Nothobranchius furzeri: one gene and its partners. The protein of the gene in region 1 purifies or fractionates together with the protein of each later gene. This does not show direct contact. Links are inferred from orthologs where the notes say so. Each region holds a gene or a part of one and is shown on either strand. Other genes may lie near its edges.

Region 1 (3,650 bases):
AGGAAACTGTGATCCGAGAATATAACAACTAGTTCATCTTATTCTCAAAGATGTAAAGATTGTTGATGGTGGCCACAGCAATGATGTTGTCCAGAGGATGCCAAGCAGTGTGAAGGATCTTCTTGTTAAAGTCCAAACTGTCTACACTGATCTCGTCCTTTTTGCGTTTCCCACCTGTGCTTACTTTGCGAGGCTTCAGGACCGACTGTGGCTTGCTGTTTTCCCGCGAGGCCTCGAAGGTCATGTCCTGCCTGTAGCCTCTGTCGAACATTCTGAAGAAGTTGTTGTAGGAGCCCGTCATCACAACGCTGAGGAAAAGATACAAGTCTCTGAGCGTTAGTTTCAGTATTTGTTTTGAACCTAATCTGGAAAAATGTCTAAAAGCTTGTTTTTGTTACAGTTAAACAAAATGACATGCAGTCTAGTGATCTGCTCCGACACCAGCAGGAGACAAAGACAGGGTTGCTGAGTCAAGGGTGGTTTTCACCCTGTTGTTGACTTTCTAATATAGCAGATTACATCAACATTACTACAGCAGCGTAGAAGATAAATTCTGTTGACAGGACAAATGCAGATGTAACCCAGAAGCTAGAACCTTAATGAGGTATTAACTAATTGGCTTACTAATATGATCCATCCTCAATTTAGATAAAATATAAAATATAAATTAAGGAAATTAACAATACTAATTAATAGATATCTAATTAACTAATAGATAATTTCATAATGAATTATTGGAAGGGTGAATAACTAAAATAACGAGTTTAATATTAAACATCGGTTAAAACAAGAATCTTGAACATCACTAACAGAAACAGAAGAGGAAAGCTGTATACTATTGGTCCAGGTGGGAATCTGAAATTTCATTGGCTGAGAGAAATAAGTCCCGCCTCCGCGAAATAAAACCGTGCGACGCAGCTGAGCGAGAGGAGAGACAAACGGCTGTGCAGCACGCAGATACAGAAAGCAAAGACTGAGCGGTTAGAGAGAGAGAGAGAGAGAAAAAAAAACAACGGTCGAGGCCGTGAAGAACCCTGATTTGGGTGCCGCATAGATAGAGGGAGAGGCGGACTTGACTCCTTCTAATAAGAGCTAGGAACTTGGAACCAACGCGGTGAGTAAAGAAAAAAGAAGAGAAAAAGCTAACGATGCAACTTAAAAAAAAAAGGAAACTTAAATAGCTTATCAAATTAATTCCATTCTTATAGATTTGTGTGGAGACGACAGAGTGAACCAATCCTCTGTAGGAGGGAACCGTTGGAGCGCGTTGGTGAGTGAATGAGATTAAATTCAGTAAATTATTAAATTCAAAAAGCTAATTACAGCAACCGAGGTGACAGCAGTGGGCTGCTAGACGTTAGATCCCAGGAGTTAACATCTCAAACTACCAGTTAACGGTGGTAGGGCATATAGGAGTTAACGGCTCAAACCGCCAGTTAACGGCGGTAGGGCATATGGGATTCCCAGGAGTTAACGGCTCAAACCGCCAGTTAATGGTGGTACGGCCTAGATGTACAGGGTCCTCAGGGGCGTTATAGCTAACGCCATAGAATTAGCAATGCGTCCCTTAACCAAACATTTAATAATAAAAAAAATAGATAAATAAAAATAAATAAAAGCTAACTGATTAGGGAGGAATTATTTTACAAAGGTGGACCAAAGGACCAGAATTTATATTTTGTTTAATTTTGTTATAGAAAATTTTATTTATTTATTTATTTGTTTGTTTGTTTATTTATTTATTTATTTATTGTGTTACAGATATACAAGGTGTCACAATGCTGTATAGAAACACAACTAAATGTATCCTTGTTGTCATGAATGCATTTCTTGTCGAATAGTGTAGAGTAATAGAATCTAACTGAGCCTATTGAGCTGAACAATTGTTGTCATATGTAATTATATTTCCAGAGCTACTGAGAATTATTTTAATAGACAATCAAATTGATGTTATGTTAGTTGAACTGTGAACCCAAACATGATTGGCTATGCCAATAGAGTGAAGCATTTGTTTAAGTCTGTAAGACTTTATGCTGTGATGTGACGAGAAGGGTCGATGCCAACTTGCTAACAGTCCTGTTGTTTACAGGCTGGGTTTTTTTTTTCCTTGGGTTTGATCCCGACTCCTATGATCACTCACTTGGAACGAGAACTGGATTTCTTCCTGACGAGGGAGATGGCGAGCCTTAACCACTGAACGAACCAGGACATCTCAAGTAACTGAAGAGCAGACTGCTCTCTTCTGTGAACAATCTCAACGGTGCGGTAGGAAAAAATCGCACCACCGGACTCTGACTTTCACCCCAAGCGTGGGGATTTGACTTGACGCCGGCTGACTTGTGACTCATATGATCAAATCTCATACCGAGCATTTTACTGTTGTCGATTGTTTTCATCTGTTTTTGTGTGTTATCTTTATGCGTTATATTTCCCATTATTATTAAAATTTAGTATATAAACCGTTTCATGCTATACCCGTGACTCCAGTCATTCTTAAACAACCTCCAATTCTCCCCGAACCTAATTATTGGCCCATTTGTTTATTTTTTCTTTTAATTATCTTATTGTATCCTGTAATCCGGTTACATAAAACTTGGCGAGCCAGCCAGGAGAATTGTAGAGTTGTTACCTTAGCTAACCATTGACTGACATCATAAGAGTGCCTGGAGGTCACAGTGGTTTGCCATTTTGGCATTATTGGTACTTTTGAGTGTTTTAAAATGGAAGTTGTGAAAACAGAAAAGGTCAAAGTTTCAAATGCTGTTTTAATCAGTGGGTTAACTGATACAGACCTTGATAACGAAGTCTTTGGGTTTATGGAAGGATTCGGACCAGTTAACAGGCGCATTAAGTTACCAAACTGTGATCAGATTATTGTGGAGTTTCAACATGAAGCCACTGTTAAGGAATTAAAGAAACAATGTTTACCCTATGACAAACCTTGTACTAGGAACCCAGATGTTTTCTTCCATATTCAAGACCTAGCCAGCGCGTACAGTCTAGAAACTAGCACATCTGCCACTGATGCCTATCTGTCAGAGCTCAGGGACATAGCTGCGCGTAGCAATCAATCATTTAAAGACCTTCTAATGGAGGAACTGGCAAAAATTGGGGAATCTTTAGGAAGGGATACCCATGCATCTGAACCAGTCACTGAACCAGAGCTAATGCTCCATAGTGACCAAGTTACATATTCCCTGCCTTTAACACCAGAAGTTAACTATATGAACAACTCAAAGGACAATTGTCCACCTACAGAGACTGGAAAACAAAACCCTTGCATTCCACCAAATCTTTTAAACACACCTGAGGTTCAGCGAGTTATTGTGGAACACATTGTTAAAAGCAGTGAGGTTATCCCTCCGCCTACTTCACAATACAGACTAAAACCGTTCTCAGGGCGAGTTCCACACCCTTCTTTTGAAACTGACTATGATACTTGGCGTAGTAGTGTAGTGTTATGCATAAATGATCCTTCACTCACCAAGTCCCAAATTGTACGAAGAATCGTGGAGAGTCTGTCAGCCCCAGCAGCGAGCATCGTTAAAGCTCTTAGTCCAAAATCCGACCCGGAAACGTACCTTGAACATCTCGATTCAGCTTACGCAGCTGTCGAAGACGGCGACGAGCTCTTTGCTCGCTTCTTAAAC
Region 2 (4,404 bases), on another chromosome or scaffold:
AAACTATAAGATTAACTCATTAACTGCCAGTCGTCATTTGCATGTTTTTACTGTGTGGGCGTCGGACGAGCCCCCGCACCGTGAGAACAAACATCTCAGCTCTAAAGCCGATCTTCATCCGCATACGTCACGTGATCAGGAAGCAGAACATCCACGTGTTAGGAGATCGTTTTGGGCCGCTGCTGTAAAAAAAGTGAGGCGTGAACCGGAAAAGCTTCTGACGATCACAATTCAACAACGTATTATTAAAGAACGGATAACGCTCGAAACACGCGGATTCTTCCTGATGTAAGAGGTGAGTCTCCGCTTTGTTTTGGTTGTTTTGGTGTCGACATCATCCTAGCGTGCAACATTCTGTCACTCTATAAAAAAAAGGAGTAAAAATGCTGGAAGTGAAGGGCTTTTCTGATCAGGAAATGGTTGGCAGTTAATGAATAAAAAAAAGTTAGTTTTTACCTTTTAGTCCAAATCAAAAGTAAACTTTTTTAAGTTAGCTTTTTTCATTTCTATGATATTTTTGTCACTTTTTTATTTATTTGCTTTTGATTATTTTTGTTCCTGAATTAAGTTTATATTTATCGCAAGTAATACCGTCATTGCAATATTAATCACCGTTATTGCATATCACAGGTTTTCCTAATATCGTGCAGCCCTAGAACATACAAATTTAAAGAGGCAGAACAAAAAACAATCCTGGTGACGCCGCCGTGTTGCTGTTGCAGCGCAGGAGGGTTGTGGACTTGAGTCTGGTTGTTTTTTTTTGGCAGCAGCAGATGAAATCGGTTCATGTTTCGGCTCACAGACCAACACCAGGAACGACGCTGCGCTTTATTAAATTGCTGTTTTGTCATATTTAGCAACACAAATCTTATCTGAAATGTTACATTAACTCCTGCCATAAATGGTGTGTGAGAGAGCAGCTTCCTTTAGTCACACGGCGTGCGGAGCTGTTCGGCTCATTATTAGGGCCAATTTATCAAGACAATACTGAAGTTTCACAACAAAAAATACATATTTATTCCGTACCAGTTCCTACTAAATATTTGGTCGGTACTAAAGAGGAACTGAGTTTGGGAAGCCAGCCCCTCTGGTTTGTTCTACTAAAAGTTTGAACATACAACCCAGAGACTCTGGTGTGACTGGAACACACAAGATGATAAAATAACACAAACTGACCCTGACCGTTTTAGAAACAAACGGAATAATCTCTTCAAATGGATTTCCATTTCCTCATAGATAACCCCCCCCCAACAGGAACAAAAACTGCAAATTAACTCGGATGTATGCAGTATTGAAGAAGGCGACTTATTAGGATTTTTTTGGGCCAAACTCACCTCTTGAACGTTGGACTCCTTAGTCAGAATCTCCTTTGCCTGAAAAGAACACAAAAATTTATTAAACTGGTCACATTTGTGTGTTTTTATTTACATAACCAAAAGTTTAAAAAGGACAGAATTATTGCATCATGGGTGAAAACATGCTGGAAGCCAGGCAAGACCCCAGTTCCTGTAGAATAACAAACAGGATGTATGGTGAAACCTGGTTTTTTGTTGTTGTTTATGTGCAAAAACATCAGAATAAAGAGCCTCTCTGCAGTGGTTCAGTTTTTGATTCTTTATATTTGGTAAGCTCACAATAATAACAAAATAATACAGGAAAAAAAGCTTTAATTATGAAAAGGAAACATAATTAAAGGCATCAAAATCGATTGATAGTTTAACTCTTTAGTTCAAAGTGTTGCTCAGCAAAACGACATAAATATACACAAAAGCTGTTTATTTACTTTAGTAATAAATAAAAATCATCTTTTGCAGCTCCATAAGTTTCCACGTTTATCTGGCCTGTTGAATCCTCAGCTGGTTCCTGATTTCAGCTGAAAAACCGCTAAAGTCACTCAATTATAATAATGTATGTTTAAAAAAATAACACGATGCAAAAAGTCATAAGAACTAATTTATTATGCGACAGCAAAAATGCGGACGCGTCTAATAACTGGGAGGTAGGATGGGTTTATGCAATAAACGATAAATCAATACAGACAGGGTGCGGTGCGAAACCCCGCACGTACGCAAACAAACCAATTCTAAAGACGCTGACTTAATACTGATTTTAACATAATATTTCGCATGGAACAAACCGAGGGAAACCACGTCAAATAAAAAAACGGGTGGATGGTAACGAGGGCTGCATCTATTTACTAGACATTTAAGGTGCGATTTTCGGCCTGTTGGTGCTCAAACTACGACTGTTGGTTAACCGTCATCACTGATAAAACTAGCCTCTGATCTTCAAACACCAAAAACAATACGAATAATTTCTCATTTCTAGTACTAATAAACAGGGATGACCTGCGGCTGACGGGTCAATAGGGAGATAAAAACCAAAATACACGTTACTTCCTTTCCAGAAATTAGTCGGGGCCGCTGAGAACCAGGCCGCTTATAAATTGAGGTCAGCGGAATCAAATGAGCGCTTACCTTCTCACAGAGGGTCCTCACTTGGTTTTCCGTTAGCTGCTTGCACTCGTTGAGCTGTTCGATCCATTGGTCTAATTCTTTAGTAAAAGATTTATCTTCCATTTCAGCTGTAATAAAAAACGGCGTCCGGTCCCTACGCGAACTGATTCAGCCTTTAGCTTGTCGTATTGTTAACCCGATCCAGTCCGGTTGAAAAATATTCGATTAGTCCTAAAAATAACGACCCTTTCAGACAACTTCTCTCATGATAAACCACCAATGTTAAGTTACCGACATTAAAACCAGTTTAAATGAGCCAGTGGAGTCGAAATCTTCGAAAGTCTCCGCTGCGGCAGATCGAAGCGGCGTCGCAGAGGCTAAAAGAGCTAGCTGCAACAACATCCGGGCACTTCAGCAGCGCGCAGACTCGGAACACCAGCGACACCACGCGGGGAAGTAACGAACTACAACAAGTTCATCGTCTTTTCCGGGATGCTGATCCTAGACCAGGGCTTGCTGCTCTAGGTACACATTATGTGGTTTATTTGTAACTCACTCACTCACTCACTCACTCACTCACTCACTCACTCATCTTTACCCACTTCAGTCACCAGGGGACAGACAGAGGACATCTGGACATGCCTCCAGTCCATCACAGGGACACATAAAGGCAAACAACCAGTCACACATTCAATTACATCTAGGGACAGTTTATTGTCTCCAGTTAACAGACCTTCTTTACACCTCCACTGGCACCCCACAAGGCTGTGTGTTGTCTCCTCTACTCTTCATTCTCCATACAGATGACTGTAGATCCATCCAGCCTGACAGTTATATGGTAAAATACGCTGATGACACTGTGCTCCTGTCGCTTCTGTCAGGCCCTACTGTTTAGCACGGGCAGGTCCTGCAGGAGTTTGTGGATTGGTGTGACACAGCAGGCCTGGAGCTGAATGTGACCAAAACTAAGGAGATGGTGTCCTTCTCAAACAAACAGAGAGCGCTGGTTACCGCTGCCTCCACTATCATTCATGGACAGCCAGTGGAGCTGGTTGAAGAGTATACATATCTAGGGACCACCTTTGATCACCTCCTGAAATTCGCTTCCAACACTGAGGACATCCTCAGAAAATGCCAGCAACGACTCTACCTCCTGAGGAAGTTGAATTCATTTGGAGACAGGAAGGACATTTTACTGACTTTCTATTATTCTTTTATAGAGAGTGTTATCACATTTTCCATCCCCTGTTGGTTTTATTCTGTCAGCCTGCAGTATAGAAACCGTCTACAAAGCACCGTCAAGGTGTGCTCTCAGATCATTGGACTACCACTGCAAAACTTAACTTCTCAATGTGACCAGCATACAGGAAGTTAGCATAGAAAATAATTAAAGACCCATTACACCCTCTTCATACTGTTTTCGAGTGGCTGCCCTCCAAACGCCAACTTCGATGTCCATGCTGTAAAACACAGAGGAGGAGTTCCTTTGTTCCCAGAGCTGTGCTTCTTCTTAATTCTTAGTGCCGATAGGAGTGTGCATAACTTGTATGTGTGCGTGCATATAGTTACATGTATGCATGTGTATTTGTGTGTGCATGTGTGTGTGTGTATGTGTGTGTGTGTGTGAGCCAAAGGTTTACATGAATTGTCTCAAATTGCCCCTCGGGGACTAATAAAGTTGTCTTGAGTCTTGAGTTTTTGGTCAGTGGGAGGCAATCCATGTATGCATGGGCAACACATTATGGGAACACACAGGCTGCAGACAGAATGAGAAACTGCAACTTTTTTTTGCCACAAAATAACATAAAATAATTCCATATATTTTAAACCACAATAAAAACATGTTTTTGTGTCCACTGTCTGTGACTGAAATTCATTAATCAAACTATACCCGGCAAACAGGGTGACTGTGAGAGGAAATGTTGCAGTTATACAGATTGTGTTTTCT
Region 3 (4,427 bases), on another chromosome or scaffold:
TGTTTTCCAAAGTTTAAATGAGTGTTGTAGTTTTTATCAGGAGCACCTTTCCTACTCAGAGGAACAGGCAGTGGCAGCTAGGTACCAGCTGCTAGGCTTCACGTTCTTCTGCACCGTTTCTGCCCATTTTAGGCCAGTCTGAGACACGACTCCAGCTGGGTGGAACAACCACACATGACAGAGACCAACTCCTGACAGCAGGCTTCAGTTGTGACTCACTGTAGATAGAGAAGGGCTAGATCTAAAAATGTGAGGGAGAAATTTAAGGCACAAGGAACTAATGCGCCCCCCAGTGGCTGGCTGAAGCATACGTTTCCCTCCATTTAAACAAATGGGACATGACTTAATAAAATACACCCCCCACCCCCCCACCCCAGGTGTTGACTCTTGATTCACAGTTGTTCTTACTTTACTGTCGTTTGTCCAGACGTCTATATTTTTAAGTTTGTTTGAGCTGTAAATAATTATCTGAAGCAGGAAAAACCCACCATGACGATGTGATGGAGGAGCCAGCTCCAAAAACATCTGTTAACGGTTTAGACTTCACTTTGTGAACAAACCTCTAACTTTTAAAGGTTGAATAATTTCACAATTTAAAAAGAAAAAACACGAGTACAGCTACACAGAGAAGATGCACTTGTGTGTGTGTGTGTGTGTGTGTGTGTGTGTGTGTGTGTGTGTGTGTGTGTGTGTGTGTGTGTGTGTGTGTGTGTGTGTGTGTGTGTGTGTGTGTGTGTGTGTGTGTGTGTGAGATTTAAGGTTAGATAAATGACAGCAGCATCACTGCAGTAATTGCTTTCTGCACTTTGAAAAAAACTGGGCAGGTTGTAAAACTACTAATGCCATTACTACTGTGTGTTTAAGGGTTTGAGTAAATGTCTCGATAGTTTACCACATAAGGGTATATCACTGCTCTTTGTTGACATTTAGATTTCTAATTTGATTACAGTTAAATTAAGTGATGTTAATTATTAATGACTGTTTCTGTTAGGAAGTCCGCTCATAAAAAACTATTGTTAATTAATTTAATTGTATCAATAAAAAAATAACATTACTATAATTTTCCTTTGGTCACTGTGCGTCCCCTCTGCTTTTAATACATACACTGCATTACCTGTAGGTACCTATAGCAGAGAAATATTAACCATCTATTTATTATGATGCCAATAAATATAAAGTTTTTAATTCAGCCTATTTAATGAATGCTACTCAGAATATTTATTTAGATATAAAAAAGGGATCAGACAGTAACCAAACCTAACGGACCTGTCCAGGAACAAGACCCTAGGACATTTGTGACACATCAGTGTATGGGGTGGCCTGATGGTTGGGGCTGACGAGTTATACCTGTTGGTCTCAATGTAAAGAATAATTGTTTCTGTAACAATTTGTTTTAATCAGCTGTTTGTATAAAGTTTTTGATGTTTTGCATCATAAACCTGTAATACCTGAACAGAATCATGTGATCACTGAGCAACCTGCAGTCACATGGTCTGACATCAACACTCAGATATATTAACTTTGCCATTCCTGTTTATTTAATTATCTGATTAATCATTTTAGCCCCATTTTAGGGTATTTGAGTAGTGTTAGCAACTGCTATCCTTCCAACAGTTTCGGGGTCTAAACACCCAAACTAGTTCAAGGTAAACACAGTGCACTGTAGTAAATATGGATAAATAAAGGCTGGAAGTTTGTGGATCTTTAGTTTCACTTCTGGTTTGTGATTTTAACACAGCCACTGTTTACCTCTGCAACCCGAACCCAAGTCAGTCGTAAAAATACATGGCATGGAAATAACCTGATTGGGTTTTATTTTGGTAACAAAACCATTCAACGCTATTGTAAAATGTACAACAAAATATATTTACAACTAGTTTAAAACCTGGAGAAGAGGACACTTTTCAAAGATTTGGGATCAGGACATTAGTGTAAAAATAAGAGCCTGTTTAAAGTCGCTGTGGAGAGGGAACCATGGCGTTGTTAGAGGGTTAAGTGATTAGAAAGCTGGAGGACCTCAGCACTGGAGCTACAGCTGCCTCGCTTTACGTCAATGTGTTCTGCTGGTACCCATCCCCCACCGCTAACTCAGGCTAGCACTTGCTTAGCTCGCTGTGCTAAACCGATAAATGAACTTTAGGACAGTCTGTTTACTTTATCACATAGTTCCCCGTCTACAGTGTACCATTTGAATCACAGACAATCAAATTAGAGTGCCGTGAGTGGGACTCTGTTGGCCGTCACTGCCGCATGCTTTGTTCGGTACGGTAGTCTACCAAGTGACAATGAGGCCATTTTGCGCCGTGAGCAGCTAGCCGGTTAGCTATGCAACGGGTAGGCTAACAGACTGCGGCTGGCTAACTGTCCTAAAATGTTAAAGGAAACGGAAAAGGATTACCCCACTGGGGTATAAAATTACTGATATACGTCTCGACCACTTTAAAAACGTCTTCCTCGCCAAAACTGTAACAACAAGCATAAAAGTGGTGATCGCAAACCCACCCATCCTCCACGGTCCTTCCTCCTTTCTGGCCAAAAACAAGAGTTTTCGCTGCGCCCGGGCTGTTAAGAGTCGGAAAATTCACAAACGCTCTCCGCGGCGCCTGCCTAAAACACCACTGCCCAGTAGCTAGCTAGCAGCACTCACCTTGTGTTTGCCTTAGTTTATTCCCCTCTTCCCGTCATAAGATTGACGGCAGAGAAAGCGGAGATTTGGTTCAGATGAGATCATTCATGCCACGGCTTCAAAAACTGAAGTACCTCACTCCTTCTACTGCTGCTGCGAGGCGGACGGCAGGAGGGAAGGAAGGGAGTGAGGGGGAGGGGAGCCAGCCGACAAAAGCCAGTTGAGGATTCCTCTCTAATGATTTCTCCCTGCTTTTCTCAAACACTAATGCTTTCGGACAAACACGCTAAAGCTCGTTTTGGGGCTGACGGAAAACAAATACAAGACTTAAGATTTGACTGGGTTTCGACGTTCTGATTGTGAATTATGATCCTGTTATACCTCATTAATAACTACCGATAGATAGATAGATAGATAGATAGATAGATAGATAGATAGATAGATAGATAGATAGATAGATAGATAGATAGATAGATAGATAGATAGATAGATAGATAGATAGATAGATAGATAGATAGATATAGACTATTTCATCTGTTAATTAATAATGTCTCTAAATATGTTAATAAAACCATTATGACAGCACATTTTCACCATGAGGCACATAGATGTTTTTTTTATTCTTTATTTATAAGAGGACATTGCATACTAACAGTCAAATGACTGTAAATATGCCAGACTATAGCCTTAGGCTAATTTCCATCTGCAGTCCTCTGGCAGGTTGATGTTGCTAAAACAAATAAAACAGTCAACCACATACAAATAGATATAAATCAATAAAATAAAACAAAACAAGATGTGTGTAGGTATACATATGCATTTATAGCTATGCACATAGGCATGTGAAAGGTGCATATGTATTAAAATCAAATAGTCATTTTAGATTACATGTTTTGATCATGTTTCTGGATTTCCTTCATTCGTCTTGTTGACATTACAATTGTTTGAAATAAGAAGCACACACACACACACACACACACACTGAGAGTCGATTTAAAAGCTTTCAGGTGTTTTGGATCACCAAAACACCTGAAAAAATTAGCTGACATTTTGAACCTAGAATAGAAAGAACTTTTGCTCAATATTCTAAGTTCTCAGGTAAAATACTAGAGTTTCCTGGCTTAAACGGGATACATGACAGGTGTGTTCAAAGCACTTAGTTTGCATTAATATGTAAAACATATATTAAGGCAGATTTGGTGTGGTGATTATCCAAAAAAGTAACATAGAACACAGCTCAGGCCTTCTTCTCCCATTCTCACACACTCCCCATTTGATTAAACAGCATGTTTTTTGTCTCATCTTTTCTTCACTTCTTGGATTCTAAGCAAACTCCTGCTGACTTTGTTTCTTGCCAAATAAGCAGTCTTCTCTGACTGCAGCTCGGCCTGGGTGATGCTGCAGCAAGAGGATTCATTGTCTGCTGTAATTGCTTTTGTATGGTAGAGGAGCTCACAGCAGCACCGCTGCTCGGTGAGAAGAGTAGGAGAAGAAGTAGTGTGCTTAATGTCAGTCATCAAAAGTTGCAAAATTTGTCCCTAGTTGCGTTTTAAAAAACGTCTAAAAACTTGCTAAATATAGCAATAGATTCATTTAGTTGGCAACACTGTTCAGGGCTCTGCCCCTTTATGAAAATAAGCTAGAGCTGGCCACTCCCCCTCTTCTACACTCAGGCTGCTATAGGTTTAGAAGCTCAAGTTTCTAGGAGAGCTTGGTGTACAGCAGCTGCTCCTCCAGCAGCTCTCTCTTGAATGTGAGAGGTGGTTCTATTCTTATTTCTTATTCTTATTGGGACAGCAGT

The links.
Region 2: the proteins of ppp2r2aa (region 1) and serine/threonine-protein phosphatase 2A catalytic subunit beta isoform purify together in Homo sapiens (affinity purification with mass spectrometry; 8 studies listed by BioGRID and IntAct, counting the BioPlex papers as one, with this or other methods). This does not show direct contact. The link is inferred for Nothobranchius furzeri from reciprocal best matches to the Homo sapiens genes PPP2R2A and PPP2CB.
Region 3: the proteins of ppp2r2aa (region 1) and cdca4 purify together in Homo sapiens (affinity purification with mass spectrometry; 4 studies listed by BioGRID and IntAct, with this or other methods). This does not show direct contact. The link is inferred for Nothobranchius furzeri from reciprocal best matches to the Homo sapiens genes PPP2R2A and CDCA4.

Annotation. Positions count from the first base shown.
Region 1 is NC_091757.1:37,248,583-37,252,232, forward strand, and holds part of ppp2r2aa (serine/threonine-protein phosphatase 2A 55 kDa regulatory subunit B alpha isoform), read right to left. Parts: intron 309-3,650; coding exon 29-308; 3' UTR 1-28. UniProt on the Homo sapiens protein: Substrate-recognition subunit of protein phosphatase 2A (PP2A) that plays a key role in cell cycle by controlling mitosis entry and exit. Involved in chromosome clustering during late mitosis by mediating dephosphorylation of MKI67.
Region 2 is NC_091750.1:36,847,506-36,851,909, reverse strand, and holds the start of serine/threonine-protein phosphatase 2A catalytic subunit beta isoform, read right to left. Parts: upstream 2,870-4,404; 5' UTR 2,580-2,869; coding exon 2,478-2,579; intron 1,374-2,477; coding exon 1,335-1,373; intron 1-1,334.
Region 3 is NC_091758.1:17,655,011-17,659,437, forward strand, and holds the start of cdca4 (cell division cycle-associated protein 4), read right to left. Parts: upstream 2,829-4,427; 5' UTR 2,648-2,828; intron 1-2,647. UniProt on the Homo sapiens protein: May participate in the regulation of cell proliferation through the E2F/RB pathway. May be involved in molecular regulation of hematopoietic stem cells and progenitor cell lineage commitment and differentiation.